Anolis sagrei: one gene and its partners. The protein of the gene in region 4 interacts with the protein of the main gene of each other region in a pairwise test. Links are inferred from orthologs where the notes say so. Each region holds a gene or a part of one and is shown on either strand. Other genes may lie near its edges.

The links.
Region 1: the proteins of EMILIN1 (region 4) and PLAC9 interact in binary tests that used the Homo sapiens proteins (3 or more experiments, as listed by UniProt). The two-hybrid records come from large-scale screens. The link is inferred for Anolis sagrei from reciprocal best matches to the Homo sapiens genes EMILIN1 and PLAC9.
Region 2: the proteins of EMILIN1 (region 4) and NMI interact in binary tests that used the Homo sapiens proteins (3 or more experiments, as listed by UniProt). The two-hybrid records come from large-scale screens. The link is inferred for Anolis sagrei from reciprocal best matches to the Homo sapiens genes EMILIN1 and NMI.
Region 3: the proteins of EMILIN1 (region 4) and ZC2HC1C interact in binary tests that used the Homo sapiens proteins (3 or more experiments, as listed by UniProt). The two-hybrid records come from large-scale screens. The link is inferred for Anolis sagrei from reciprocal best matches to the Homo sapiens genes EMILIN1 and ZC2HC1C.

Annotation. Positions count from the first base shown.
Region 1 is NC_090023.1:153,469,056-153,476,063, forward strand, and holds the start of PLAC9 (placenta-specific protein 9), read right to left. Parts: upstream 3,013-7,008; 5' UTR 2,925-3,012; coding exon 2,867-2,924; intron 1-2,866.
Region 2 is NC_090021.1:204,978,298-204,985,398, reverse strand, and holds the start of NMI (N-myc-interactor), read right to left. Parts: upstream 3,017-7,101; 5' UTR 2,852-3,016; intron 1,160-2,851; 5' UTR 1,157-1,159; coding exon 1,085-1,156; intron 990-1,084; coding exon 906-989; intron 696-905; coding exon 621-695; intron 1-620. UniProt on the Homo sapiens protein: Acts as a signaling pathway regulator involved in innate immune system response.
Region 3 is NC_090021.1:304,973,846-304,981,190, reverse strand, and holds the start of ZC2HC1C (zinc finger C2HC domain-containing protein 1C), read right to left. Parts: upstream 3,002-7,345; 5' UTR 2,592-3,001; intron 1-2,591. Other genes in the region: ACYP1 (acylphosphatase-1), read left to right, coding at 5,994-6,194, 7,265-7,345.
Region 4 is NC_090021.1:1,919,993-1,927,593, forward strand, and holds the start of EMILIN1 (EMILIN-1), read right to left. Parts: upstream 3,012-7,601; 5' UTR 2,433-3,011; coding exon 2,242-2,432; intron 1-2,241. UniProt on the Homo sapiens protein: Involved in elastic and collagen fibers formation. It is required for EFEMP2 deposition into the extracellular matrix, and collagen network assembly and cross-linking via protein-lysine 6-oxidase/LOX activity.

The DNA of each region.
Region 1 (7,008 bases), on a different chromosome or scaffold from region 4:
TTCAGAGCACTTCCCATACATTATTTTGTTGTAATCCTTCCAATAAGCCTGTAAGAACTGAACTCCCTGGAGAAGATATTAATAACATCACTTATTTATAGCTTGTACACTATAACTGTATTTTCCCAAACTGGCTGCACGTCCTCAAGAACAGAAAAAAGACATTTAAAATAATGATTTGCCCATGGAAAAATATAACTGCAAGAGGTAAAATTCAGCAAATTCAGAATAAAAGAGTGCCCAGTCCTTCACCATCGTTTTGCTCACCCAGTTTGTGACTTGTCTTCATAAAAACCTGACCCCTGTCTCATAAAAAAGCAGAATTTTATGTGTTCCTGTGAAGTTAGTTTGGGAGTAAAGAAAACGGAGAACACAGATACCCTGTAGAACATGGTTTTGTGGTTATACTGGGAATATAAACCTCTAATTTAGCTGAACAAAACTTCAGCAGGAAATGAGACATTCTTCAGGTGCACTTTTTCCCATTGCCAGACCATCCAGAACAAAGAGAGCTAACTGATAACTGCAACAACAGAAACACCTTTTTATTGGGATCACTGCATGAAACCTATATAACATGTGCCTAATTTGCCTTTTTTAGAATGTGCTTGGCATCTGTTTCCATATTATTCTATGGAAAGAACACTATTATTGCCCAGGCAGATCAATAACATAGCTAATAGTAGTGTGCAAACTTGAGAAGGATATGGCATCCTTCAGAAACAATCCAACACATGATGTTAAACATGCCTAAAATTTTGGGCCTGCATTCATTAAATTTTACTTTTGATTGCTTATCCTTTGAGGATAAATTGCCTATTCTGTATTAGACTTTGGAAATCGTACTCTGGACTAAGCTAAAAGCAATGACAGCAGCAGCAACAACAACAACAACACTTTATTTATATACCGCTCTATCTCCCCAAGGGGACTCAGAGCGGTTTTCAAGTAACATAATCAATACATACAAGAAAAAAGGCATAAACATAAAATTAACAAAACAGTATAAGCATTAAAACCACAATAGCACATACATTTAAAATAATCATGTCTGATCAAGGCAGTTTAAAAGGCCGGGCCGGGCTACTGCAATTTTAGAGGGCCCGGGAAATTAGTCTATGGCTGTACATGTCTATGGCTGTACATTTCCAGAGCCTAACAGAAGAGAATGGCCTGGGTAATTGCTAGAAGAAGATATGACCAATTTCAACAATCTGGGGCAGAGCTAAAACTAGTCGTTCTCAAAGGTTTGCTTAAACCACCAGGTCTTCAAGCTCTTACGAAAGGAGGGGAGGGATGGGGCCTGTCTTATTTCCCCAGGAAGGGCGTTCCAGAGGTGAGGGGCCACCACTGAGAAGGCCCTCTCTCTCATCCCCACCAACCGTGCTTGTGACGGTGGTGGGAGTTAAAGGAGGGCCTTCCCGGAAGATCTTAAAGTTCACGCCGGTTCATAGAGGGAGATGCGATCGCGAAGATAGGTGGGGCCCGAACCATTTAGGGCTTTATAAGTCATAACCTGCACCTTGAATTTGGCTCGGCAACTTATCGGCAGCCAGTGAAGCTGTTTTAAAACGGGCGTTGTATGCTCCCTATAGTTTGCTCCAGTAAGGAGCCTGGCTGCCGCCCGTTGTACCCATTGGAGCTTCCAGGTCGTCTTCAAGGGCAGCCCCACATAGAGCGCATTGCAATAGTCCAGTCTGGATGTAACCAAGGTGTGGACCATGCTGGCTATGACTTTAAATCCTTGGTGCTTACAAAAGGGAAATTATTGATGTTCATCTTAGTTGGGGGCTATTTGATTTTTTAAACTGCATTGAAATACTCATACTTGCAAATTTTCTAATCTTGGCTCAGACACTTCTCAAAATGGAAAGTGTCATGAAAAACAACTAGAAAGTTGGAAGTTTAGCTATGAAGAAATTAAATAAGAGAGACAACTGAATACCAGAGTCCAAATTATCCACACCATAGTATTTCTGGTTTACTTGTATGGTTGTCAAAAGTTGAACAGTAAGTAAAACAGAAAGGAAAAAATCCAAATAATTTGAAACATGGGTTGTTGTAGGTTTTTTGGGCTATATGGCCAAGTTCTAGCAGCATTCTCTCCTGACGTTTCACCTGCATCTATGGCAGGCATCCTCAGAGGTTGTGAGATCCTCACAACCTCTGAGGATGCCTGCCATAGATGCAGGTGAAACGTCAGAATGCTGCTAAAACATGACCATATAGCCTGAAAAACCTACAACAACCCAATGATTCCAGCCATGGAAGCCTTCGACAATACATAATTTGAAATATGGTGCTAGAGAGAACTTGATGGCAAGTACAGGATTGAATCTTTCTCTCAGTGCTTCAGTTTGGCTTGATTCCACAGTAATAGCACTACCTAACACAAGGTCATCATGAAAACATTTCTGTGCACACATTCCTAAATTCCACATTTTTATGAACACATTTTCCCCATCTATATACACGTCTAATACTATAAAACATTCAGCTGAGAAAAACAAAGCATTATTAGCCAAGGGAGGAGAAACCTCCAAGAATTAAGTTTATAAGATTCTTATAATCTTATATGCTTCATATTTAGAAAGTAGTTCTCCCCAGATGAACTGTTCTTGAAGTGACATTCATATCCACAAAGGTGTATTGGGTTCTGGGTAGCACAACCTTACTCTCACTTTGTTGACAGTATTACAATTATTGCCAAAAGCTTAAGAGTATTACTTTATTTTGGAAAGCAGATCTATCTCTATAAAAGATACAATCTACACAGAGTTGATGCACACATAAATACACTTCACATTAACTCTACATTTCCTGTAGAAAAAAAAATCCTAATCTTTCCAAGATTTGAAACACTTACCCAGCCTTTCTGATGTATTCAACATGAAAATAAAAAGCAGAGGCCAAATGTAAAGCATGGTTTCAAAGTTTCCCTCCGAAGGCGTCTCTCCTGGTTCAGCAGATGCAGAGAAATAAGCAGCCTCTCCTCCCCAGCACACTGGTCCTCTGCAGAGAGAGAGAGAGAAAAAAACAGAAGGGCTGGACTGGCAGCTTGGAGAATTGGGAGGAAACAGTTTCTTCTGGCTCCACCAGTTTTCTTAAGCAGCCTCTCATCCTCCCTCCCTTCCTCATAACAAACCAAACTAACCTTCAAATTCCACACAGAATCCGCTCACCCAGGCAAGCTTATTTTAGGTCAACTTTATTACAGCAAAGGGGGAAAGGTTTGCTATTTATTTATACTGTGCATGAATGGAATGTGCCCAAAAGAGCTGTGCTGGATGTATCCAAGTGAGAGAAGTGTAACGCAACTGACATGCATCTTTCTCTGGGTTTTTTAATCACGCTGTAAAGGACAATCTTATGTGATATTCCTGAAAGTCTTGACACTATTTGTTTATTTAGATGTAAAATCTACCCTATCCTGAACATCAATGTTATACTATTTATGACATCTATATAAATAAAAATGTAATGTTCATTTGTGGGATTAACATAATTTAAAAACCACTGGACGAATTGACAACAAATTTGGACACAATGCACCTATCAGGCCAACAAGTGACCATCACTCATAAAAACACTGAAAAACACAGTGGAAGAGGCTTACAAGCCAAAAAACAAAAAGACATTACAACGCAAAACCACATATATACCCAAACACATATATACACATATACATAAACATATACACACATATATGCACATATATACACACACAACACACAGGGGCGGCCCAACCCATTACGCAAAATAAGCATTTGCAGTATAGTTGATTTTGCCCAGGGGTGCTCTTGAGGCGCTCTTGGGGGGAAATAGATCTTGACATATGCAAGCTGTAGTTACTGGGATGTATAGTTCACCTGCAATCAAAGAGCATTCTGAACTCCACCAATGATGGAATTGAACCAAATATGGCACACAGAACTCCTATGACGAATGGAAAATATATATCAATGATTGGTTGGGGGGGGGGGGGCAAAATACTGTTTGCTTACCGTTGAAAATTACCTAGGGCCGCCTCTGACAACACATATACACAGAAAAGGGGAAGGAGGGAAGGAAGGAAGGAAGGAAGAGAGGAGAAAAAGAGGGAAAGAAGGAGGGAAGGTGACAATGAAGAAAAGAAAGAAAGGTAGAGAAGGAAGGAAGGAGAGAAGGAAATAAAGTGAAAGAAAGAAGGAAAGAGAGAGGGAAGGAAGGAAAGAAGGAGAGAAAGAGGGAGGGGGAGGGAGGGAAGGAAGGAAGGAAGGAAGGAAGGAAGGAAGGAAGGAGGGAAGGAAGGAAGGAAGGATGGAACCAAAGAGCAAAGGAAGTGAGAAAAGAAAAAGGTGGAGAAGGAAAAAAGAAGAAGGGAAAGAAAAACAGGGAAGGAAGGAAGGAGAAAGAAAGAAAGAAAGAAAGAAAAGAAAAGAAAAGAAAAGAAAAGAAAAGAAGGAGAGAAAGAGGGAGGGAAGGTTGGCCACAGCAAAACGTGGCACGTACAGCTAGTTTTATATATAACTGTGACAGATCCCTGCTCCACATTCTGAATACTTGGGCTCCTGTCATCCACCTTATTCCAGAATTTTGAAACTGCTCACTGTGTAATGTGACTTTAGTAGACAAGGAGATGTAGTTTGTGTCAGGCTCGGTTTGTTAATTTGTGACTGATTCTTATTTTAACCTTTTAAGTGAATGGCTTCTAGGCAGTGCTGTAGAATAACAAAAAAAAATTATTACTAGCAGATATCTTAAACATTTAGCATGTTGCTACCTTCAGAAATATTTTAATGTAACAACTTTGAATTGAAGAGTCACTGTGATACTTCAGTTTGAATGTTGGACTATTATTCTAAGATTTCAGATTACAAATTTGCACTTGGCTAGGGAAGACTACTGGGTGATCCTGGGCAAGTCGCACTCTCTCTGTTGGGGTTCAGGAGCAAGATGCTGAGGATTCCTCTTTCTCAGAGGATGAGGGGGATGATGGGTTTCCCATTCACAAGTCTGTGTGTGATCAGGGTGATTTGCAGACCACAGAGCAGACAGATCACAGAGAAGTGCCAGCAGCTACAGAGGTGGAGACAGGATGTTTAGGATTCCAATGTCCATTCCTTAGCAACCAGGGAAAAGTCTATTTCTGCCTTCAGGGCCTTCTTCAGGTGCAGATGGGGACTTTTCCTGTGATATAAGATTAGGCCTCTGTGGGGAAGGAGTCAAGGATAGATTATAGGGTTGGATAGGTTCAGGTGTGGCATAATTCAAGAAAAAAATGGATGTTTTTGCCTTCCAAAGGGACTTCCGCCACATTTCCGCAAGGCTGTAGTCCCCTATAGTTTTGAATCACCTTGCATGATTGATTTCAAGGATGCGGAAGTGATTCAGAAATCCTCTTATTTAGAGATGAATTAGTATTTTCTGGCTGGGAATTTTTAATATAATTCCAGAACACCATAGGTTAGAATCATAGGCTGCATTTACATTGTTGAATTAATGCACCAACCGCACTGTCTGTTTCACTCTCACTTGCAGTATGGATGGTCATGGATTAGCTAGTGTGCCCCTCTCCTTGATATTTTATTTTAACTGCCTTAAATAACGCCTTCAATGAGCTTATGTTTTACCGTGTAAAATTATCAATAGCTGATTTAAAGGGTACAGTGTCTTTCACAACTGAACAGCACAGACATGGGCATTTGGTTCATAAGGTTTTATCACCAGAACATTATAAGGCCAGTTTCAGTGTTTAATATCGCATCTTTGCAGAAGTATGTTTGATTACTATGTACTGACTTCTCCCTTTCAGTAACCAAGTGTTACTATTGCTGTATAAATAATAGTAAAACATGCCAGTGTCTTAAAAGAAAAGATCTCAGAAAATATTTCTAATTTAAAATAATACCAATGATTTTTTGGCAGAATTGTTGTTCGGAAAATGGAGAGAAAGCATTCCTTGGTGTCTTTAGACCAAATATGGTAATTGAAGGAATGAGCAAAATCATATAAATAAGAGGTCTGAACAAAATCCAGTGTTGTCATATTTCAGAAATGCCAGTACCCAAAAAATACCTCATAAACGCTACTGCCAGTGTTCTTATGTAAGCGGTGAAATGTTAAGAGAGCACATATATGTGGCTATTAAGCAACTGCCACATATCAATTAAAATCCTGCAAGATGCTGATAGAGCACAACATCAGTTTGGGTGGGGTAGTGCTGGTAGAAATGCCCTTTATTCCTAGATGTGCAATAACACTTTGCAGCCTATGATGCGGATCCATCTCCCAGTTACTGTTCTAAGGGCCCATCTACATAGTCCTGAAAACCTGGGCAAAGATAGGATAAAGGGGGTGACTACAAAATGCACACGCATAATGCAGGCTTGTTACTGAAACTGTACAGAAAACACGTGATAAAAAGGTTGAATGAAATCCATTAATGGGCAAAAATGCACTACTACAGAGCACTATATATCCCAGCCCCGCCCCCCAATAAGAGTTCCTTGAGCACTTATCCTCCTTTTAAAACCCTGAAAGAGCTGATGGAAGAATGTAAACAGATGGAGCCAAGGAAACACAGAATACAAAGATCAAAGAAACCAATCAGGCAGCTAAATGGAAGCACAAGAGGAAAGCAATTCTCATGAGAACTCTCTCCAAACATTTATTTGTTCTCATTTCTTTTGTCTCACTGAAATGAATCGGAGCTTGAGATTACTCAGCAGGCACCAGCATGTCACAGGCAAGTGACCTCAAAGGGAAATGGGGTTCAAGAGAGCAAACTTGAGGTACCAGGAGTGAGAGTGAGACAATGATAGTAAATCTGTTTGTGGACATTTTGTTGTATCTGCATCAGTTCTGCAACACTTGTGAAATGTTTATAAGGTACAACACATCTCAGAGCATCATTAGGGGGAAAAATTAAATTTCTGATGGATGGGACACTGTAGCTTTTGCAGTTCCATTTAATTAGCATTAACCAGACCTTTGTGGACGCCATGAGACCATTTACCGGGATGAATA
Region 2 (7,101 bases), about 200 Mb from region 4:
CTGTGAAAATTAAAGCCACCTGATATTCTGATTTTTTTTTGTCATGTCAGGAGCAACCTGAGAAACTGCATGTCACTTCTGGTGTGAGAGAATTGGCCATCTGCAAGGACGTTGCCCAGGGGACGCCCGGATGATTTGATGTTTTATCATCCTTGTGGGAGGCTTCTCTCATGTCCCCGCATGAGGAGCTGGAGCTGGTAGAGGGAGCTCATCCACCTCTCCCCGGATTCGAACCTGCGACCTGTCGGTCTTCAGTCCTGCCAGCACAAGGGTTTAACCCACTGCGCCACCGGGGGCTCCAGATATTTTGAATGAAAACCTGAATCCGCAAGTTTACTAAACAGTGTGTAGAGGTGGCTAGATGCTGGCAGTTGGGACTCTACTGACAGACTGGTTGAAGTATGCCTTTGCTGTGAAAGGACTCTGCTGTATTTTGCTTGCTTCTGGGACACGTGTTATTCAGCTTGCAGCTGTTCAGGGAGGTCATAACTTGGAAACTATAAATCACTTCACAACCAGTATTCCATGGCAGACATTTCAATGCTTCAGACAAAACACTGCTGGCAGACTTTTCAAAAAACAGATGCACAGAGTTTATCCTCCACATCTACTGTGCTCACCTTCAATTTTTCTAATTCTCTCTGTTTTCCAGTTTCATTTGTAAGTACATCTGAAGTCTTGTGTTCTTCAATGCTCTACACACAGAAATTAAAAGGAAAATTAAAAAAAATTCCTTGGGGCAGCACAACTCATCTTTTTCATACTTTCAAAAAAAGGATGTGGTGACTCTTTCCCCACACAAAGTAGTAAAACATAAAGCCCAGTAAATTCCCTGTTCAGGATGAAACATAAAAATTAAGGTAGAAAGCTTTGAATTTGTTTAGAGTTACATGAGTACTACTTACAGCATTTGCCATCAACGTTTCCAATTCTGAAAGATTTCCTGTCTTTTTCATAACTGCTTCTGGAGTTTCAGTTTCCTCTGCGCTCTGCCAAATAAAGTTAGAAATACATAAATAGTATCTATCATGCACAACACTGACTGTTCCAATGGGAAACTGTAGAAGTATTTGACAGAACTTACCTTGAATTGTGCTGGTTCTTTAAGTGGTTCCATTTTGCTTACAAGTGTCCCTTGAATGTCACTTTTCTCCATATTCTACAGAGCACAGTTAGATATACACAAATATCACAGTGTTATTCTTCTAATGGTTTTATTGTATCAAGGGCCTTTTTGCCAATATGTGTTTATTCTAATGTCTAAACCTAAACTGAATTGTCTCTTCTCTGGGGAAAAAACCATCATAACAGCCCTAAACGGTTTGGGACCTGCTTATCTTTGCGATCGCATCTTCCCCTACGAACCAGTGCATACCTTGAGATCTTCTGTGGAGGCACTGCTCTCTCTCCCCCCGTTGTCACATGCACGTTTGGTGGAGACGAGGAAGAGAGCCTTCTCAGTGGTGGCCCCCCGGCTCTGGAACTCCCTCCCTAGGGAGATCAGACAGGCTCCCACCTTGTCCTCCTTTCATAGTCAACTAAAAACCTGGATGTTCCAGTGCACTTTTGACTATATTTCTTTCAGCCATATTGTTTTTATATTGCTTCCTATTGTGTTATTTGTTTTATCTGATGTTTTAATTGGTTAAAGTGTTTTACATGTGTGTTTTAATTGTAATCTTGGGCATGTCCCTTGTAAGCCGCCCCGAGTCCCCTAGAGGAGATGGTTGGCGGTATATAAAAATAAAGTTATACACAATTTCAACAGAAAGGAGGAAGCCATGAAAATGAACAAAATCTGGCTATCAGTATCAAAAAACTCTAAAATTACAACAGCAAAACAGCAGAGAGGAAACAATCAGGGACCCCTAATCACCTCTCAACAAAAGATTGCCCCAGGCACTGCCAGGCCATCAAATGCTAATCAAGGTGATCAGTTGAAACATTCACACCTAGCTCCAGCAGACAAGAGTCCTTTGTCCCACCCTGGTCATTCCACGGATATATAAACCCTTTTTCCTAGTTCCAACAGACCTCACTACCACTGAGGATGCCTGCCACAGATGCAGGCAAAACGTCAGGAGAGAATGCCTCTAGAGCATGGCCATATAGCCCGAAAAAACCTACAACAACCCAGTGATTCCGGCCACGAAAGCCTTCGACAAGACAAAGTTGTTGTTATTATTATAACCCATGGAGCCCACTATGCAAAGATAAATCAATCTTATGGTGTTATCTCAATCTGCTGTCATAAAAGGTGTCACTATCTCAGCCACCCAGGTGGACAATTTTGGGATTTGGAGGATTTTGGAATAAGGGATACACAACCAAAAGAGATCTTTGGCCCTTCCCTAAACTGCAAATCCCAGGAACCCATAGTATGGAACCAGGGTAGTTGAAGTGGAATGGTTAACACTCTAATTGCATATTGTGAAAGGGACCTCAGGGTTGTTTTACCAAAGCCATTTGAGTTTGTTTTCTCCTGGTCCTCACAGACTTTGCTCCAACAAGTAGCATCAACATCAAGGATGATTTGTTATATTCACTGATTCACCAGAAGCTTAGTAAACTAAAACCAAAAGTAAAAGTCTCAGGAAGTGCATAGCAATCCCCAAGCAGATATAAAAGACATTATAAGCCAGCAAAAACAATATCCAATTTATACAACACAATTTTGTTATTTTGTTGTTGTTGTTGCTGTTCTTTTATGCCTGGGAGCTTCCTGCTCTCAAGACAGAAAAGATGGAACAATCAGTATCTCCTAACAGGAAAGGGGAACCCCAACACCCTTTGCCTTCTTTATAAACATCTAGCCTGCTCCTAGGAAAGAGAAGCCACCACCCAGACTTACTTACAAAGAGTGCTTGCAGTTGATCAAGTCGCAGCTGGGCTCCGGAGGAAAGTCCTGGGGACGCCAAGCAGGAAAGAGAAAGCAACGAGCTGCAGTCTTTTCCAAGAAACCACCAGGTGGGAGGGAAAAAGCGGGAGGAGGCGGAGGAAGGCAAGGCCAGCTGCCTCCTTTGCTTTCGGTTTCCATTCCAAGAGGTTCCTCCCTATCTCGTGCCCTGGATGCAACGCAAAGGGGGGGGGGGTGTTTTGGGACTCCCAGAGACTCTAGCTAGCAGGAGGGATGGGAGTTATAGTGGAGGACTGAGAGGAAACACAAACTGGGCCACTCCTCAGGCAGAAACAGGAGCCAAGATTAGCCCCTAGCCAGTGTTCAGCATTCATATATAAACTGCCATACCATATAATTAGTGTAGACCCATAGAATGCAGTTCAACTCCATTATGTGGGACATTATATGAGACCCATGTAATATACTGTACTTCTATGCAGCTAAACTCCATTATATGGGACTACTTTGTATAGTCAGTGCTATGGGACTACTTTATATAGTCAGTGCTATGTAACCAAGGGAAGGGGGCTTGAGGGGCTTCAGCCCCCCCCCCCCCCGCCAAATTCTCAGGGTGGTCCGCGAAAAGGCCTTACTGGTATATTATTTAAACTGTTATGTTTATTCATATCATAATCTGACCACCATGCTCAATATATCCTATATGCATGGGGGTATTGGGGTAACAATACAAAAGGTTTGCATGGGTAGATCCTCAGCCCCCCCCCCCTTAAATCAAACTCCCCCCCCCTCAAACTCAGCACCCCCCCCCCCCATCAAAATCCTGGCTACGGGTCTGCTCAGTGTAGACCCATATAATGCAATTCAATGCAGTTAAATTCCATTATATGGGACATTATGTAAGTAGACCCATATAATGCAGTTCAATGCAGCTAAAGTCCATTCTATGGTCTATTCTATAGTCAGTGTAGACCTGTTTGATGCAGTTAAACTCCATTATTATGTGGCATTATATAAGCATAGACCAGTGGTTCTCAACCTGTGGGTCCCCAGGTGTTTTGGCCTACAACTCCCAGAAATCCCAGCCAGTTTACCAGCTTTAGGATTTCTGGGAGTTAAAGTCCAAAACATCTGAGGACCCACAGGGTGAGGACCACTGCTCTATGAGTCCCCAGATGTTTTTGGCCTACAATTCCTAGAAATCCCAGCCAGTTTACCAGCTGTTAGGATTTCTGGGAGTTAAAGGCTAAAAAACATCTGGGGACCCCAGGTTGAGAACCACTGGCGTAGACCCATATAACACAGTTCGATGCAGCCAAACCCCTTCTATGGAACTACATTATATAGTCAGTGTAGACCTGTGTAATGCAGTTTGATGCAATTAAACTCCATTATATGGGACTATATTATACAGTATAGTCAATGTAGATCTGTGTAATGCAGTTTGATGCAGTTTAACTCCATTATTGTGTGGCATTATATAAGCGTAAACCCATATAACGCAGTTCAATGCAGCTAAATCCCATTCTATGGAACTATATTATATAGTCAGTGTAGACCTGTGTAATGCAGTCTGATGCAATTAAACTCCGTTATATAACGCATTATATAAGTGTAGACCCATATAATGCAGTTCGATGCAGCTAAACCCCATTCTATGGGACTGCATTATATAGACATTGTAGATCTATATAATGCAGATCAATACAACTAAACTCTCCAATCTCTTAAAAGAAGCAGCTTCAGAGACAGCCAGCAAAATAACCAGGCATTTCTTGCTCTCAGAAAGTTATGTTCTGAAAAACTCAGAAAAGGTAGAAAAAATAAAGAGAACTGGTGTTCCAGTGATGCCACCAAAATTGAGGAACCCCAAGCAATGACAATACACTGGCTTTTATATTTCACAATGCTGTGCCGTCTTTTGGGTGTTAATCAGACAATTTCCCACCATGCTCCATGTCTCCACCCTGCAACCACACTCGGCCCAGTTCTTATCAGTAGGAACCCTTCTTCCCAACCCACCATGTACAAGGGAAGTGCTGATGTCAATAGGCAGGGTAGGGTCCAGCAAACCTCTGGCTTATCAAGGCCATTTGTGCCCAGCAGGGTTTCTTACTCTTCTCTATGGCACACAGCAAACAGGGTGAAACTGATCAGAAACAACATACTGGAAAGGTTTGGGGGATTGACTCAACATGATGGAAGTTGTAGTTCACCCTGGACAACTTCCATCATGTTGAGTCAATCCCTCAAACCTTTCCAGTATGTTCAGTTTCTGATCAGTTTCTCCGTTTGCTGTGTGCCATAGAGAAGAGTAAGAAAGGCAGTGGGCGGGATCATGCAAATTCCACACCAATAGAGAGAGTCAGAAACAATGAGATGTCTATGGTGGAGGGAAAACAAAATCTAGGAAGAGATTTTCCCTTTATGAAAGCATTCACTTGGTGGTGGGCAGTATGGTGTTTGTGGAGAACATTGGCAAGCCTCTTGTAAATGTTCATGGCACTCACTATAACTTGCAATGTTATTGGAGGGAGGGCCATTGGTGTCTCATGCGTGATGGAAGTTATAGCCATTTATGGAGGCAGGAGCTTGTCTGTGCAAGTGGACACCCCTGCCACACATAAACATACATATTTTCACTTTTTTATGTGTATAGATAGATATCTGGGGTCACATAAAATTTTCTCAGGCCAAAAGGGGTCCCAAGTCAAAGTTACGAAGCCCTTGATTAAGATATTTACCCATTGGTGCCCCTGTGAGTCTGCTACAGTGAACTGGCACCAACCATAGCACACAGAATTGCTACTGGTTTCCTCTATGTTGTTGGTTTATGTTCTTTATCAGTGAAATAATTGTAGCTGTTATTACTCACAAAAAAAGCCAAATATAACTATTTGGGATCAGTAAGAATTGATTATCATTTCAAGAGCCATGGTGTGAATATCTGAGACTTCTCTCATGTCCCCGCATGAGGAGCTGGAGCTGATAGAGGGAGCTTATCCACCTCTCCCCGGATTCGAACCACTGACCTTCAGTCCTGCCGGCACAGGGCTTTAACCCACTGCGCCACCGGGGGCTCCAACTCTCTCCCTAAAAAAAGGGAGAGAGTTGTGCCTGTGTGTGTGTGTGTGTAAATTGTGAACTTCAGCAGCAGTGGGATTTGCTTGTTTGTGCTTGCATTTGCTGAGATAAGAAATGGCCTTTGATTCCTTCCTGGGTGTAGCTGTCTTGTAAACTCCTTGCTGACCAGAGTTAAGTGTCAGTTACATGTGTTTTGGTTTGTCTACTGAATGTTATGTTTTTAATGGTTTAATAAAAACCCTACCCTAGCATGATTCTGCAGTTGTTTCCATATGGGGGCAGTCTACGCATTGAAAATGAAATGAATCCTCCAGAAAGAAGCTCTTTATTAGGACTACAGCGAGACTGCAATCCTACATGCATCCAGGTTAAATATCTCTTATCTGAAATACAGGAACGAGAAGTATTTGGTATTTTGGTGTTGTTTAGGGGTTTCGTTTGGAATATCTGTTTTTCCATTATGCGTGTTTTATATACCTTATGCACATAGCCTGAAAGTAATTTTATACCATAGTTTTTAAAAGTTTGTGCATGGAACAAAGTTTTTTGTGCACTGAACTATCAAAAAGCAAAGTACTACTATCTCAGCCACTCATGTGGACAATTTTTTAGTTTTGGAGTATTTCAGAATTCCATATTAGGGATGTTCAACCTGTATATACACATGTGAACATAAGTCTCATTGAATTTCAGTGTAGCTTATTTCTGAACAGATATCTTTTGGAGTGTAATTTTTATAACTTCAACACATTTTTAAAAGTTTACAAATTTACTATAAATATTTAAGGGTTAGTTTATGTGTTGTGATCAAGGACGCATTTACACTTCATTCTATATCCACCCCTAGTCTTTTGATTTCTTGACTTTAGTCTCAATTTTTCTTTATGACTGATCCAAGGTATATAGAATATCTTGAGCCTCTTTAATTGCCATGGTTCCAAGCAGTGCAATCCTGAGATTTGTAGTTTGGTGTGGCACCAGTACTGTTTCGAAGAGAAGGCTAAAGAATGTGTAAAACTATAACCCCAGTGATACTATAGCATTGAACCATGGCAGTTAAAGTGGTGTAAAACTGCATTAATTCTACAATGTAGATGCATCCCCCAAAAATGGAAACTACTTTAACTCTACCTACCATCTTACCAAGTATTATTATGTGG
Region 3 (7,345 bases), about 300 Mb from region 4:
GAAGGAAGGAAAGAAAGAGGTACCGAAGGAAGGAAGAAGAGAAAGTAGAAAGGAAAGGAAAAGGTAAGGAAAGGCAGGAAAGAGGTAAGTAAGTAAGTAAGTAAGGAAGGAAGGAAGGAAGGAAGGAAGGAGAAAAGGAAATAAAAAGTGAAAGAAGGAAGGAAATGGAAGAAAGGAGACAAAATAAAAAGTAGAGAAAGGGGGAGGGAAGGGAGGAAAGAGAGAAGGAAGAAAGGATAAAAAGGGGAAGGGGAAGAAAAAGGGAAGGAATAGGTAAGTAATGCCCTTTCATAATAGTCCAGATATCTACCTCTACTTCGAAAATTCTTACTATAGGCCACAGCAACGCATGGCAGGGCACAGCTAGTGTGTGCGTGTAAATAAATGCTCTGTTCGTTTTGAGTGACATCATAATTCAAAATCCGCTGGACGAATTGCTGCCAAATTTGACCACAAGACATCTAAAGCAAGGAATAACCATCACTCAAAAAATTGATTTTGCCATTTGGGAGTTGTAGTTGCTGGGATGTATAGTTCACCTACAGTCAAAGAGCATTCTGAACTCCACCAATGATGGAAATGAACCGAACTTGGCACACAGAACTCCCATGACCAACAGAAAACACTGGAAGGGTTTGGTGGGCATTGACCTTGAGTTTTGGAGTTGTAGTTCACCTACATCCAGGGAGCACTGCGAACTCAAATAATGATGCATCTGGACCAAACTTGGCATGAATACTCAATATGCCCAAATGTGAACACGGAGTGTGGGGAAAAAATACCTTGACATTTGGGGGTTGTAGTTACTGGGATTTATAGTTCACTTTCAATCAAAGAGCATTCTGAACCCCATCAACGATAGACTTGAGCCAAACTTCCCACACAGAACCCCCATGACCAACAGAAAATACTGTGTTTTCTTGTGGTCTTTGGCAACCCTTCTGACACCCCCTTGCAACCCCCCCAGGCGTCCCGACTCCCAGGTTGAGAAATGCTGCCTTAAGGCCATCCAGTCCAACTTCCTTCACCAGGGCAAGAAAACATAATCAAATGCCTCCTGACAAAGAGCCATCCAGCCATAGATATAGATAGATATATGTGATACACACGCACACAGAGACACACACATATGTATATGACAGATATAGTCTCATAGATTTGAAAGGGACCCCTAAAGATGGACAATAATATGTTGCATGTTCCAGAGTAGGCAAACCAGACAATCTCTACATCAACACTGACAAAGAAACAACAAGGAATACTGGGTTGTTGTAGGTTTTTTTGGGCTATATGGCCATGTTCTAGAGGCATTCTCTCTTGACGTTTCGCCTGCATCTATGGCAAGCATCCTCAGAGGTAGTGAGGTCTGTTGGAACTAGGGAAATGGGTTTATATATCTGTGGAATGACCAGGGTGGAACAAAGAACTCTTGTCTGCTGGAGCTAGGTGTGAATGTTTCAACTGACCACCTTGATTAGCATTTGATGGCCTGGCAGTTGTTTGATGTTGTTGAATGTTTTTATGTTGAATGTTTTTATATTGTGTAAATGCTATTTTAGATTGTAAGTCGCTCGGAGCACCTTGGTGGAGAGCGACTAATTAAGAAATAAAGTGAAGTGAAGCGATGTGGCATGTTGGTGCCTGGGGCAATCTTTTGTTGAGAGGTGATTAGATGTGCCTGATTGTTTCCTCTCTGTTGTTTTGCTGTTGTAATTTTAGAGTTTTTTTTAACTCTAGTGAACAAGAAATACTGTTTACCCACAAGCATAAAGAAATTACATATATGAGAAACCAACACTTTCTAATTATTTTCCAGATCTCCAGACTGGGCCACAGCAATGCGTGGCAGGGGACCGTTAGTTCCTAAATTAATAATAATAATAATAATAATAATAATAATGCTACCGGGCTCAATTCAAAGTGCTGGCGTTGGCCTATAAAGCTCTAAACGGTTCTGGCCCAAGTTACCTATCCGAACGTATCTCTGCCTATCAGCCCACCAGGACCCTAAGATCTTCTGGGGAGGCCCTGCTGGCGGGGACGAGAGACAGGGCCTTTTCTGTGGTGGCCCCCCGGCTGTGGAACGCCCTTTCTATGGAGGTAAGATCAGCCCCCTCGCTAATGGTGTTCCGAAGAAGATTAAAAACTTGGATGTTTGGACGGGCATTCGGTTAAACAGTGCAATGAATGTGATGATTACAGGAATGGAAATTTGGACGACGGATTGGATCACGACTCTAGTTATGAGATGCATTGTGTTGTCTATTGTTGTGTCAATATTGTATATTATGCTTTTATGGTTTTAAATTATATATCGTTGATTGATTCTTATCCTTGTTGTAAACCGCGTTGAGTCGCCTGTTGGGCTGAGAAACTGCGGTATACAAGTAAAGTAAATAAAATAAATAAATAAATAAATAATAATAAAAACCCTGGAGGGCCCAAGGAAGGAAGGGGCCTGAGACTGTTAGGAATGGTGGGAGTGAAGTCCAAAACCTCTGGAGGGCTCAAGTTTTCCCAGGCCTGGTATATATTGCAAATAAAGCCAGCCAAAGGGTTAAGACAGAGGTCTTCCCTCAGGGATGACTTACCCCAGTGCGGTTCGTTCAAACGTACAGCAAGAAAACGGGCGTTTGGTTCTGGCCTCTGGTTCTGAAGAAACGAGCCCTGGGTTTGGCAGGAGCCTCAGGTCGCAGTTATGCTAATTTTCGTGAAGTGGAGGTGACGTCTCTAGTTCAAGGGCGCTCGCACTCTGGTGTGTTTACTATCGAGAGCCATCTCGTTCAGGAGGCAGGCGGGCAGCGAGTTAGAGCATCGTCACACAACGGAAGCGTCCTCTCCTAGCAACTGCCCGGAGGGCTTACCCGCCACCGATAACGAGGAGACATGGATCTCCTGCCTCGAAACGCCGCGAGGCCCAAAGAGCGGCCACGTCGCTATGGCAACGTGTGCTAGCGCGCCGCCACGCCCCCTCTCCCTGCTTCCCTCCGCTGCCGCGCCAACCTTCTGACCCCGATTCTCTGGGTAGGCTGTTTACCTCTGTTGCCTAGCAACGCTCACGCACATGCCGCCTAGCCATTCCTGTTCTGCCTTTTTACGCGAAGTGCCAATCGGGCCTGTCAGGCGCCGCTGGACTACATCTCCCATAATCCCTTGACGCTCACTGTAGTGGCAGGGGAGACTGGGAGTTGAAGTCCATTTGGGTTGGACTTGAACTTGGATGTTCAAACAGGCATTTGGTTAATTCGGTGCAATGAATGTGTTGATTACGGATTGGTAATATGGATGATGCAATTGGACCACGATTTTAGTTAGGAGATGTATTGGATTGTGATTTTGTGATTTCGTGTAATATTGTGTATTATGTTTTTTATGGTTTTAATTGTATACTGTGCACTGTATATTTTGTTGTAAACCGCGTTGAGTCGCCAGTTAGGCTGAGAAACGGCGGTATACAAGGACAGTAAATAAATAAATAAATAAATAAATAAATAATATATGTAATTTCTTTATGCTTGTGGCGGTAAACAGTATTTCTTGCTGTTTCTTTGTCAGTGATCTCATTACTACTCTGGAACATGCTACTCTCCGAACGCATCTCCTCCTATGAACCGACTAGGACACTAAGATCATCTGGGGAGGCCCTGCTCTCTGTCCCGCCTGCATCACAGGCACGCTTGGCGGGGACAAGAGACAGGGCCTTCTCGGTTGTGGCCCCTCGGCTGTGGAACGCCCTGCCTGCAGATATCAGATCGGCCCCCTCCCTGCTGGCGTTTCGGAGGAAAGTGAAGACCTAGCTGTTCAAACAAGCATTTGATTAAACAATGTCATTGAACATAGGAATGGAATAATGTATGATGAGACTGGATTCTGATTTTACTGTTGAGGCACTAATGATTGTTATTCTGATGTTTAATGATTTATGTTACAATTGTTTTTAATTGCCCTATACTTGTCTCGTGATGCTTTGTATCGATGTTGTTCGCAGCTTTGAGTCGCCTGAGGGCTGAGAAAAGCGGTATATAAATAAAGTAAATAAATAAATAAATACTGCTCATTGGAGGGAAGAATAGTAGAGGCCAAGATGAAGTACTTTGGCCACATCATGAGAAGAAAGGAAAGCTTAGAGAAGACAATTATGCTGGGGGGGAAGGAAGAAAAAAGGAAGAGGGGCTGACCAAGGGCAACATGGATGGATGGTATCCTTGAAGTGACTGGATTGACCTTGAAGGAGGTTGGGGAGGTGACGGCCAACAGGGAGCTCTGGTGTGGGCTGGTCCATGAGGTCACCAAGAGTCGGAAACGTCTGAACTAATGAGCAACAAAGAGGTCTCTTTCAGATCTTTCAGTGGTGCACATCTTGTTACATCCTGAATCGATTACTGCAACGCACTCTATGTGGGGCTGCCTTTGAAGACTGTTCAGAAACTTCAACTAGTCCAACGGGCTGCAGCCAGATTACTAACTGGAGTAACATACAGGGAGCACGCCACCCATTTCTTGTGTCAGCTCCACTGGCTACCAATCCACTTCTAAACTAAATTCAAAGTGCTGGTTTTGAGCCATAAAGTTCTATACGGTTCTGGCCCAGCTTACTTGTCCGAATGCATCTCCCACTAAGTCCCGCCTTGCAGTTTAAGATCATCCAGGGAGGCCCTGCTCTCGCTCCCGCCAGTGTTGCAAATACATCTGGCGGGGACGAACGACAGGGTCTTCTCGGCTGTAGCCCCCTGCATGTGGAACTTGCTTCCCAACGAGGTAAGATTGGCTTCATCCCTCCTGTCTTTTAGGAAGAAATTTAAGTCGTGGGTCTAGGACCAGGCTTTTGGACAGCAGGCATAAATAGCACTTTGGATATGGAATTAGACTGGAATGGTGATACAGCGGTTAATACTATTTTTATTGTTTTAATTAATATTCTATTTATTGTTTTAATTGTTGTTATATCGCTATGTTATATTTAATGACATCAAATTGTGCCAAATGTAAGTTGTCTCGAGTCCCTCTTTGGAGGTTGAAAAGGACGGGATATAAATGCTGGAAATAAATAAATATAGGCACTAGGAACATCTCTGAAAATTCCCTTTTTAAAACCACACCTCCTCTAAGATCTGTTGAAAAAACCCAATTTTCCTAGTTTCTAACAAGACCTCACAACCTCTGAGGATGCCTGCCATAGATGCAGGCGAAACGTCAGGAGAGAATTTTAATCAGTTTTCATCAGTTTGTCTTTTTAATCACTACATGTAGCCTGCCTATTATTATTGTGCCTGTGCATATTTTTTAATATTGTTATGTATTCATATGTTTTATGCAACTATGATTTTATTGTTTATTGTTCGTGTTTTCGGTTTGTGTTTTTGGTTTTTCTTTATTGTAATTATCATTTGGGCTTGGCCTCATGTAAGCCGCTCTGAGTCCCCATTGGGGAGATGGTGGCGGGGTATAAATAAAGATTATTATTATTATTATTATTATGGAACATCGCCAACAACCCAGTCTATTGGATGTTAGCAATTGGGAGAGTTGAAGTCCAAAATACCTGGAATGTGGGCCAAAGTTTGGCCATGCCTGATATATAGTATATTTGTGTGTGTATGTATATACCAGGCATAGGCAAACTTTGGGCCTCCTTCCAGGTGTTTTGGACTTCAACTCCCACAATTCCTAACAGCCTCACTTCCGGACTACGGCTTAGGGAGGGGCCTCTCTAGTCAGAGACGGAGGCCAGCTCTGTGGTTTCGCAGTCGAGCCGTTAGTGGCGGTTAGAACCCTGAACGCGCGAGCTGGCTGCTGATTGGCTGAGGAAGGCGGCCCCTCTTCTGAGGAAGGGAGGCTGTCGGGTATACGTTCAGGCGGCCCCAAAGACCCTGCAGGTGCCAAAAGCGATCCCCCGCCCCCTTTTTACATATGCATGAAGATGCAAATGAAGGCAGGGTTTACCCTCTGCCCTTGCCTTGACATTTGGCCTTCGACTTCCCCCTTCAGAGGACATGCCAGCTCTCCTCATGGAGCCATCTCTGGGGGCTGGTGGGGGGATATGGGCTCTGTATCTGCGTTATCTCTCTGGCCTAATGGCACTTTTACTTTTGATCCAGGGACCGCTGACCATGGCTGAGGGAGATGGACTCGTGTCAATCGATTACGAAGTGTTCGGGAAAGTGCAAGAGGTGTTTTTCCGCAAATACACACAGGTATCTGCCCATCCTGGCATGTCAAGGGTTTGACTAACACAGGCATTGGCAAACTTCGGCCCTCCAGGTGTTTTGGACTCCAACTCCCACAATTCCTAACAGCCTACCGGCTGTTAGGAATTGTGGGAGTTGGAGTCCAAAACACCTGGAGGGCCAACGTTTTCCCATACCTGGACTAACATAAATTAAGGCTACTTGAGTTGAGTGAGGCTAAGGCCACTTCCACACACCTGAATCAAATCCCACATTATCCGCTTTGAACTGGGATATATGGCAGTGTGGACTCAGATAACCCAGTTCAAAGCAGATACTGTGGATTTTTTGACTTGATATTCTGGGTCATATGGCTGTGTGGAAGGGCCTTGAGGTTGGATCTGCACTGCCCAATATCCCATGATCTGATCCCAGAGTATCTGCTTTGAACTAGATTATATAAGTCTACACTGCCATATAATCTGGGATAAACATTATCCCAACATTATTTCCAATTTTAACTTTACATTTGGCCTTCCCACTGTTTTTAATTGTGTGTTGTCTTAGTGATAATGTTGTATATTTTATTGCTTATCTTTTTTTATTTTTAATGGCTTGTATTGTTGTTTATTGTCTGTATTGTTGTATTTGGGCTCAGCCTCATGTAAGCCGCACCGAGTCCCTTGGGGAGATGGTAGCGGGGTACAAATAAACTTGTTGTTGTTGTTGTTGTTATTATTATTATTATTATTATTATTATGGGGTCCTGGAATATAGGGCAGCGTTGAAGGGACCCTACTTAAGAGCAGAAACATTCAAGGTTAATGCTGTTAGAATCAGCTGTCTGGCTATTATTTATTTATGTCTCACTTTATATTTCTAAAGACACCCAAAGTAGCTTAAAATATATTCATTTTGCATTTCCAGGGGTGGGGATAGAGGGTTGATAACAGAAACGAGTTGAACAGCATTTTTTTTTACTCTTTTAAGGAAATCGATTCTTATAAAAAAAAGGCAGCTTATACTTTTCTCTGTATTCAGACAGATCATTGCATCTTCTTCAGGAGATATTCTGTATATGGATTTTTCTCCTTTAGGCTCAAGGAAAAAAACTAGGTGTAGTTGGCTGGGTCCAGAACACTGACCAAGGCACTGTGAAAGGACAGATCCAAGGCCCA
Region 4 (7,601 bases):
GTAGTAGTAGTAGTAGTACTAAGGAGAGGCTGGATGGTCATCTGTCGGGAGGGTATGCATGGTGCCTTCCTTCCCAGCAGAAGTGGGGCTGGACTGGATGGTCTTTAGGAATCCCTTCCAAAGCTGGGATTCTATGACCCTCTCCCTCTTTGGGAGACTGAGGCTTGCAAAGGGGTTCCTCATTGCTTGCACATGTCCCCCTCCCCTCATCAAAGAAATCCAACCCTTCCCCAGTCCTGGCCTGCCTCCAAACCCCTTTCCCCTTACTTCCTCTCCCCTTCCTCAATCTTGCTCTGCTTCCTCCCTCCAGCAAGGAAGAAGGGCCAAGGAGACCAGGTGGGTGGTCTCATAGGTCGAAGACAGCCAGGGGCCAACTTGGGCCCTCCCTCCCTCCAGGTGTTTTGGACTTCAACTCCCACCATTCCTAACAGCCGGTAGGCTGTTAGGAATGGTGGGAGTTGAAGTCCAAAACACCTGGAGGGAGGGAGGGAGGGCCCAAGTTGGCCCCTGGCTGGACTAATTGGTCTGGGTTCTCTGCCTGGACCTCTCAAGCCTTCAAGGAAGCCCTTGGACATTGTGGCCCTTTGGAGGCTTTGAAGCAGAGGCTGGATGGTCATCTGCTGGGGGTGGTTTGAATGCGATTTTCCTGCTTCCTGGCAGAATGGGGTTAGACTGGATGATGGCTCACCAGGTCTCTTCCAACTCTAAGATTCTATAATTCCATGACTCAAAGAAGGAAGGAAGAGAGGAAGGAGGGAGGGAAGGAGGGAAGGAAGGAAAGAAGGAAGGAAAGGGAAGGAAGGAAAGGAAAAGGAAAAAAGGAAGGAGAAAGAAGGAAGAAAAAGGAAAGGAAAGAAGGAAGGAAGGAAGGAGAAAGAAGGAAGGGGGAGGGAGAAAGAAGGAAGGGGGAGGGAGAGAGGGAAGAAGGAAAGAAGAAAGGAAGGAAAGTAGGAGAGGAAAAAAAAGAATAATGATATAATAAATTTTATTTTTAACCCACCATCTCTCTCCAGAGGGACTTGGAAGGAAGGAAGGAAGGAAGGAAGGAAGGAAGGAAGGAAGGAAGGAAGGAAAGAAGGGGGAGGGAGGGAAGGAGGAAAGGAAAGAAGGAAGGAAGGAAGGAAAGTAGGAAAGAAAGAATAATGATATAATAAATGTTATTTTTAACTTGCCATCTCTCTCCAGAGTGACTCAGGAAGGAGGGAAGTAATGAAAGAAAGAAGGAAGGGAAGGGAAGGAAGAAAAGGAAAAGGAAAACAGGAAGGAGAAGGAAGGAAGGAAGGGAGGAAGGAAGGAAGGAAGGAAGGAAGGAGGGGGGAGGGAGGGAAGGAAGGAAAAAAGGAAGGAAAGTAGGATAGAAAGAAAGAATAATGATATAATAAATTTTATTTTTATCTCACCATCTATCTCCAGAGGGACTCAGGAAAGAAGAAAAGAAGGAAGGAAGGGAAGGAAGGAAGAGAAGGAAAAGGAAAAAAGGAAGGAGAAAGAAGAAATAGAAAAGGAAAGAAGGAAGGAGAAGGAAGGAAGAAAAGGGAAAGAAGGGAGGAGATGGATGCATGGATGGATGGAAGGAAGGAGTAAAAAGGAAAAAAGGGTGAGGGAGGGAGGGAAGAAGGAAAGAAAGGAAAGTAGGGAAGAAAGAAAGAAAGAATAATGATATAATAAATTTTATTTTTAACCCACCATCTCTACCCAGAGTGACTGAGGAAGGAAGGAAAGAAGGAAGGAGAGGGAAGGAAGGAAAAGGAAAAGGAAAAAAGAAGGAAGGAAGAAAAAGAAAGGGAAAGAAAGAAGGACAAGGAAGGAAGAAAGGGAGGGAGATGAAGGGAATGAAGGGAGGAGATGGAAGGAAGGAAGGAAGGAAGGAAGGAAGGAAGGAAGGAAGGAAAGAAGGAAGGAAAGGAAGGAAAGAGAGAGAGAGAGAAAGAAAGAAAGAAAGAAAGAAAGAAAGAAAGAAAGAAAGCAAGCAAGCCTCCCCTGCTCGGCTCTGCTTCCTCCAGGTCTGCCTTGCCCATAGTTCTTGAGAAGTTTTGGAGTGATGTCCCTCTTGCTGCCTGCCTGAAGCGGTCACTTTGGCTCAGGCCACAACCTTGACCCACCTTCCCAGGGGGCCATACATGGCACTCTCCTCCATTGTCCATCCACTCCATATGCCCATTTGCCTCCACAGGTTGCCCTCTTCTTCCTCTCCCATCCCCATCTTGCTTTGGGGTCCCACCAAAGAAGCCACCCTCTTACCTGTGCCGGCTGGCCACCCGTGCCCCATTATGACCCTGAGCGAGGTTGGCGTTGGCCTGGTGCTGTCCGAAGGGGAGTGCTCCGGCCGTGTAGAGGCTGTACCGCGGAGGGTAGTTCATGGCTTGCGCCGGAGTGTCGGCCAGCAGGCCAAACCAGAGGCAGAGCCAGGCGGCCAGAGCGGTGCCGGCCATCCTGGTCTTGCTTGTGCCACTGGTCAGCTGCGCATGGCCTGGCTCTCCCTCGGGTGCACAAATCCAGGGACAGTGTTGCTCCTGTTGCTTCTTCGGTCAGGGGCAAGGCCCACCTTGGTGTCCACTTGATCTGGATGGAGGATGGTCAAGCAGTCAAGCAGCCAGGCGTCCAGTTGGTCAGTTTGTGCTCCTAGCCTTGCTGGTGCTGCTCACACTCTGACAGCTTTGCAAGGACTTCCCAGAGGTTGTAGTTCCCTCCTCCCTCTCTCTGCTGCTCTGCTCTGCTCTTCCCCTGACTTCCTGCCTGCCTACACTCCCAGGCTGGCTGTCCGGCCGTCCGGCCTTGCTGGACTCCCCTTGACCCTCCTGTCCTGGAGCATGCCTCTCCCCGAGAGGAGCCCCACTTTGCCGCAGCTCCCTCCTACCCCAGGACGTGCCTTGCTTCCCCTTCCATCCCCCTCTCATCCCCTTTGCTGGCTTTGCAAGAGTTTCCCTCCACGGCTGCAAAACCAACATCTGCTTCTCGTTACAGTCGGGACAGGAACACGCTCTGGGCCAAAGGCATGGCAGAAGGGGGGCCGAGAGAGGAGAAAGGGTCCCCGGTCAAAGGGACACACACACACACACATGGGAGGGGGCCACCACCAAGGCTATGGCCTGGCCCCTTGGCACGGCCAAGGCAAGCGGGCAGGAAGTGACCTCAGCGCTTTGGCCACCCTTTTCTCCGCACTCCCCCCAACTGGGGTTTTCCAGCAAGCAAGGCCTCTGTCTGGACGGCCCCAAGGGATGCTTGCCTGCCTGACTCCATGTGTGTATGTGTGCGCGTATCGCTCCGATCTCAGACAGGGAGGCCTTTGTTTCGGCCCTCTTAGAATCATAGAATCCTAGAATCCAAGAGTTGGAAGAGACCTCCTGGGCCATCATCCAGTCCAACCCCATTCTGCCAAGAAGCAGGAATATTGCATTCAAAGCACCCCTGACAAATGGCCATCCGGCCTCTGCTTAAAAGCTTCCAAAGAAGGAGCCTCCATCACACTCCGGGGCAGAGAGTTCCACTGCTGGACGGCTCTCACAGTCAGGAAGTTCTTCCTCATGTTCTGGTGGAATCTCCTCTCTTGTAGTTTGAAGCCATTCTTCCATTGCATCCTAGTCTCCAGGAAAGCAGAAAGGAAGCTTGCTCCCTCCTCCCTATGATTTCCCCGGCCTCACCTCTGGATCCCTGGCCCTCACCTTGTCTCCTCATAGAATCCTAGAATCCAAGAGTTGGAAGAGACCTCATGGGCCATCCAGTCCAACCCCATTCTGCCAAGAAGCAGGAATATTGCATTCAAATCACCCCTGACAAATGGCCATCCAGCCTCTGCTTAAAAGCTTCCAAAGAAGGAGCCTCCACCACACTCCGGGGCAGAGAGTTCCACTGCTGAACGGCTCTCACAGTCAGGAAGTTCTTCCTCATGTTCAGATCATAGAATCATAGAATCAAAGAGTTGGAAGAGACCTCCTGGGCCATCATCCAGTCCAACCCCATTCTGCCAAGAAGCAGGAATATTGCATTCAAATCAACCCTGACAAATGGCCATCCAGCCTCTGTTGCGAAGCTTCCAAAGAAGGAGCCTCCACCACACTCCAGGGCAGAGAGTTCCACTGCTGAACAGCTCTCACAGTCAGGAAGTTCTTCCTCATGTTCTGGTGGAATCTCCTTTCTTGTAGTTTGAAGCCATTCTTCCATTGCATCCTAGTCTCCAGGGAAGCAGAAAGGAAGCTTGCTCCCTCCTCCTCCCTGTGACTTCCTCTCACATATTTACACATGGCTATCATATCTCCTCTCAGCCTTCTCTTCTTCAGGCTAAACATGCCCAGCTCCTTAAGCCGCTCCTCATAGGGCTTGTTCTCCAGACCCTTGATCATTTTAGTCGCCCTCCTCTGGACACATTCCAGCTTGTCAATATCTCTCTTGAATTGTGGTGCCCAGAATTGGACACAATATTCCAGATGTGGTCTAACCAAAGCAGAATAGAGCATGGGGAGCATGACTTCCCTAGATCTAGACACTAGGCTCCTCTTGATGCAGGACAAAATCCCATTGGCTTTTTTTGCTGCCACATCACATTGTTGGCTCATGTTTAACTTGTTGTCCACGAGGACTCCAAGATCTCTTGCCTCCTTACGGGAAGAACAAGCGAGATGCTTACGTGATCCCTTGCACCCCACTTTTCTTTCCCCAGCTCCTGCTCCTGGCCTTACTGACTTAGGTGATCCCTCGTGGTCTGAGTGATGCCGAGGGCACCCCAGCCCCCTGCTTTCAAGCTGATCTGACCAGCCGCAGGGAGTTCCGCAGTTCCTGGATGCCCAGTTGAGCCAAGACTGATGAAATGTGCCCCAGAAGCAGCTTCAACCAGGGATTCTTTGCAGCCTTGCGCTCTCTCCTTTCGCTTCTTTCCCCAGCCCAAACAATGTAACCAATCCCTCAATAAAGACTAATTGAATTGTAAGCTTTACCTCTTCAGAATGATACCTTGTGTCTTTTCCTTGACTCACTCAACTAAAAAAGCATGATTTTACCTTTTCTGGGCCGCGGGAGACCACCAGCCCGCCTGGGATGCCGAATCTGCGTTTCTTCAAACCGCGGATACGGAAACCCCTCAGCACCCCCGTATCCGTGAGTTGAATGATTGACTCCATTTTTGTGCCATATTTTTCCTAGCAAATTTCTAACACTATCTGCTATCTCACTTTTTGCATTTCGTGCCCCTACGCTCGGGGAATAACCGTTGAATTTTTAAGAATATATTTTTAAGGAAAACAGCTGATTGTCAAATCCAAGCTTCGCTGCTGCTGCGCTACCACTGCCATCTCTGTTTCTTCGTCCTTCTGGAGCTCCTCGACCCAGAGACTTGATGCGGTCACCCCATGAGGCTTTGAACATCAAGCAAAAAGTGGGTGCTAGAAACAATATCATACGAAAGCTGACTGGCACAACCTGGGGATCACAACCAGACACAGTGAAGACATCTGCCCTTGCGCTGTGCTACTCTGCTGCTGAGTATGCATGCCCAGTGTGGAACACAACTCACCACGCTAAAACAGTGGATGTGGCTCTTAATGAGACATGCCTCATTATCACGGGGTGTCTGCACCCTATACCACTGGAGAAATTACACTGCTTAGCCGGTATTGCCCCACCTGACATCTGCCTGGAAGTAGCAGCCAATAGTGAAAGGACCAAGGCAGAGACATCTCCAGCTCATCCCCTGTTTGGGTATCAGCCAGCACGCCAACGATTTAAATCTAGACATAGTTTTCTAAGATCTACAGAGACACTTCCTGGAACACCTCAGCAAGCGAGAGTCCAAAAGTGGCAGGCTCAAACCCAGAACCTCAACCAATGGCTGATACCAAATGAGAGACTCCCCCCTGGGCACTCAGAGAACTGGGCGACTTGGAAGGCACTGAACAGACTGCACTCTGGCACCACGAGATGCAGAGCCAACCTTCAGAAATGGGGCTACAAAGTGGAATCCTCGGCATGCGAGTGCGGAGAAGAGCAAACCACTGACCACCTGCTGCAATGCACCCTGAGCCCTACCACATGCACAATGGAGGACCTTCTTGCGGCAACACCAGAGGCACTCCAAGGGGACAGATACTGGTCAAAGGACATTTAATCAACTACCAAACTCACAAGTTGTGTATTTTTCTGTCTGTTTGCTTTGTTTCTGTTAGAAATGTAATATATAATGGACTGGTTGCTCTGACACGACAAATAAATAAATTGAATTGTAACCTTTATCTCTTCAGAATGATACTTTGTGTCTTTTTCCTGACTCACTCAGCTAAAAAGCATAAATTTACCTTTTCCGGGCCGCGGGAGGCCGAATCTGTGTTTCTTCAAGCCGCGGATACGGAAACCCCTTGGGCCCCCGTATCCGCGACTTGACGAATCAACTCCATTTTGGTGCCATATTTTTCCTAGCTAAATTCTAACACTATCTGCTATCTCGCTTTTTTGCTTTTCGGGCCTCTACGTTCGGGGAATAACCTTTGAATTTTTAAGAATATATTTTTAAGGAAAACAGCTGATTGTCAAATCCAAGCTTCGCTGCTGCTGTGCTACCACTGCCATCTCTGTTTCTTCGTCCTTCTGGACCTCCTCGACCCAGAGACTTGATGCAGTCACCCCATGAGGCTTTCGGGGAGCAGATCGGTCACCGGGCTCCAGTCCTTGGAAGGAGTTATAGTTTTCCAAGGACAGCTTCGACCTCAGCGCCTCAGGGCTCCATTTCTTGGCTCAGTGGAAATCATCAGGCCCCTTTTAATGACTTTTGGACCTTTTGCCACACTTTATGGACCTCTTTTTCCATCATGGACTTACTTTCATCCATGGATCTTCCTGAAATGAACTATGAATTAATATTGGGCCATGATCAAGGCTTCTATCAATTTCCCTATGGGACACTGGGTGGCAGGATGAAGAGATATGATTTCTATAACATGATTTCTGTATTTCTATATTTCCTCCCTGTGTATCTGATCTTTTCCTGACCCTTTGGCCCCATTCCCTTTTCCTTCGAAAAAATGTATAAAATATAAGGAAGCCGCCCTGACCCTGAAGAGGAAGCAATTAGCAATTGAAGAAACCCTTATCAAAAACACTCCTTGCATGGACTGTAACAAAGGATTGTGATCTCTCATGGTCCAAGTATGATTCCAAGTGCAGCCTCTTAGCAGCAATGAAGCAAGTGGGGTGTATTTGTCCAGAGTGGGAGAAAGAACCCTTGTCTGTTTGAAGCAAGTATGCAAAGTCAATCAGTGAGGGTCTCTGCCTAGAGGTAGCCTGCCCCCTGTTGCGTGGAGGCACCCTCTGTGCAATGGTGTCCAGGGTGGGAGGAAGAGCCCTTGTCTGTTTGAAGCAAGTGTGAATGTTGCAATTATCAAGTTTGATTAGCATGGAGTAGCCTTGCAGCCAGGTGACCGACCTACTCCCCGAAAGCCTTATGGGGTGACCGCATCAAGTCTCCGGGTCGAGGGGCTCCAGCAGTTCCTAAATGACACAACCGGACACGATCCCTTCCAGTCCGGCTTCCAAATGGGGCACGGGATGGAGACTGTGCTAGTTGCCATCACAGATCAGCTCCGCTGCCGGATGGATCAAGGCGGATCAGCACTGCT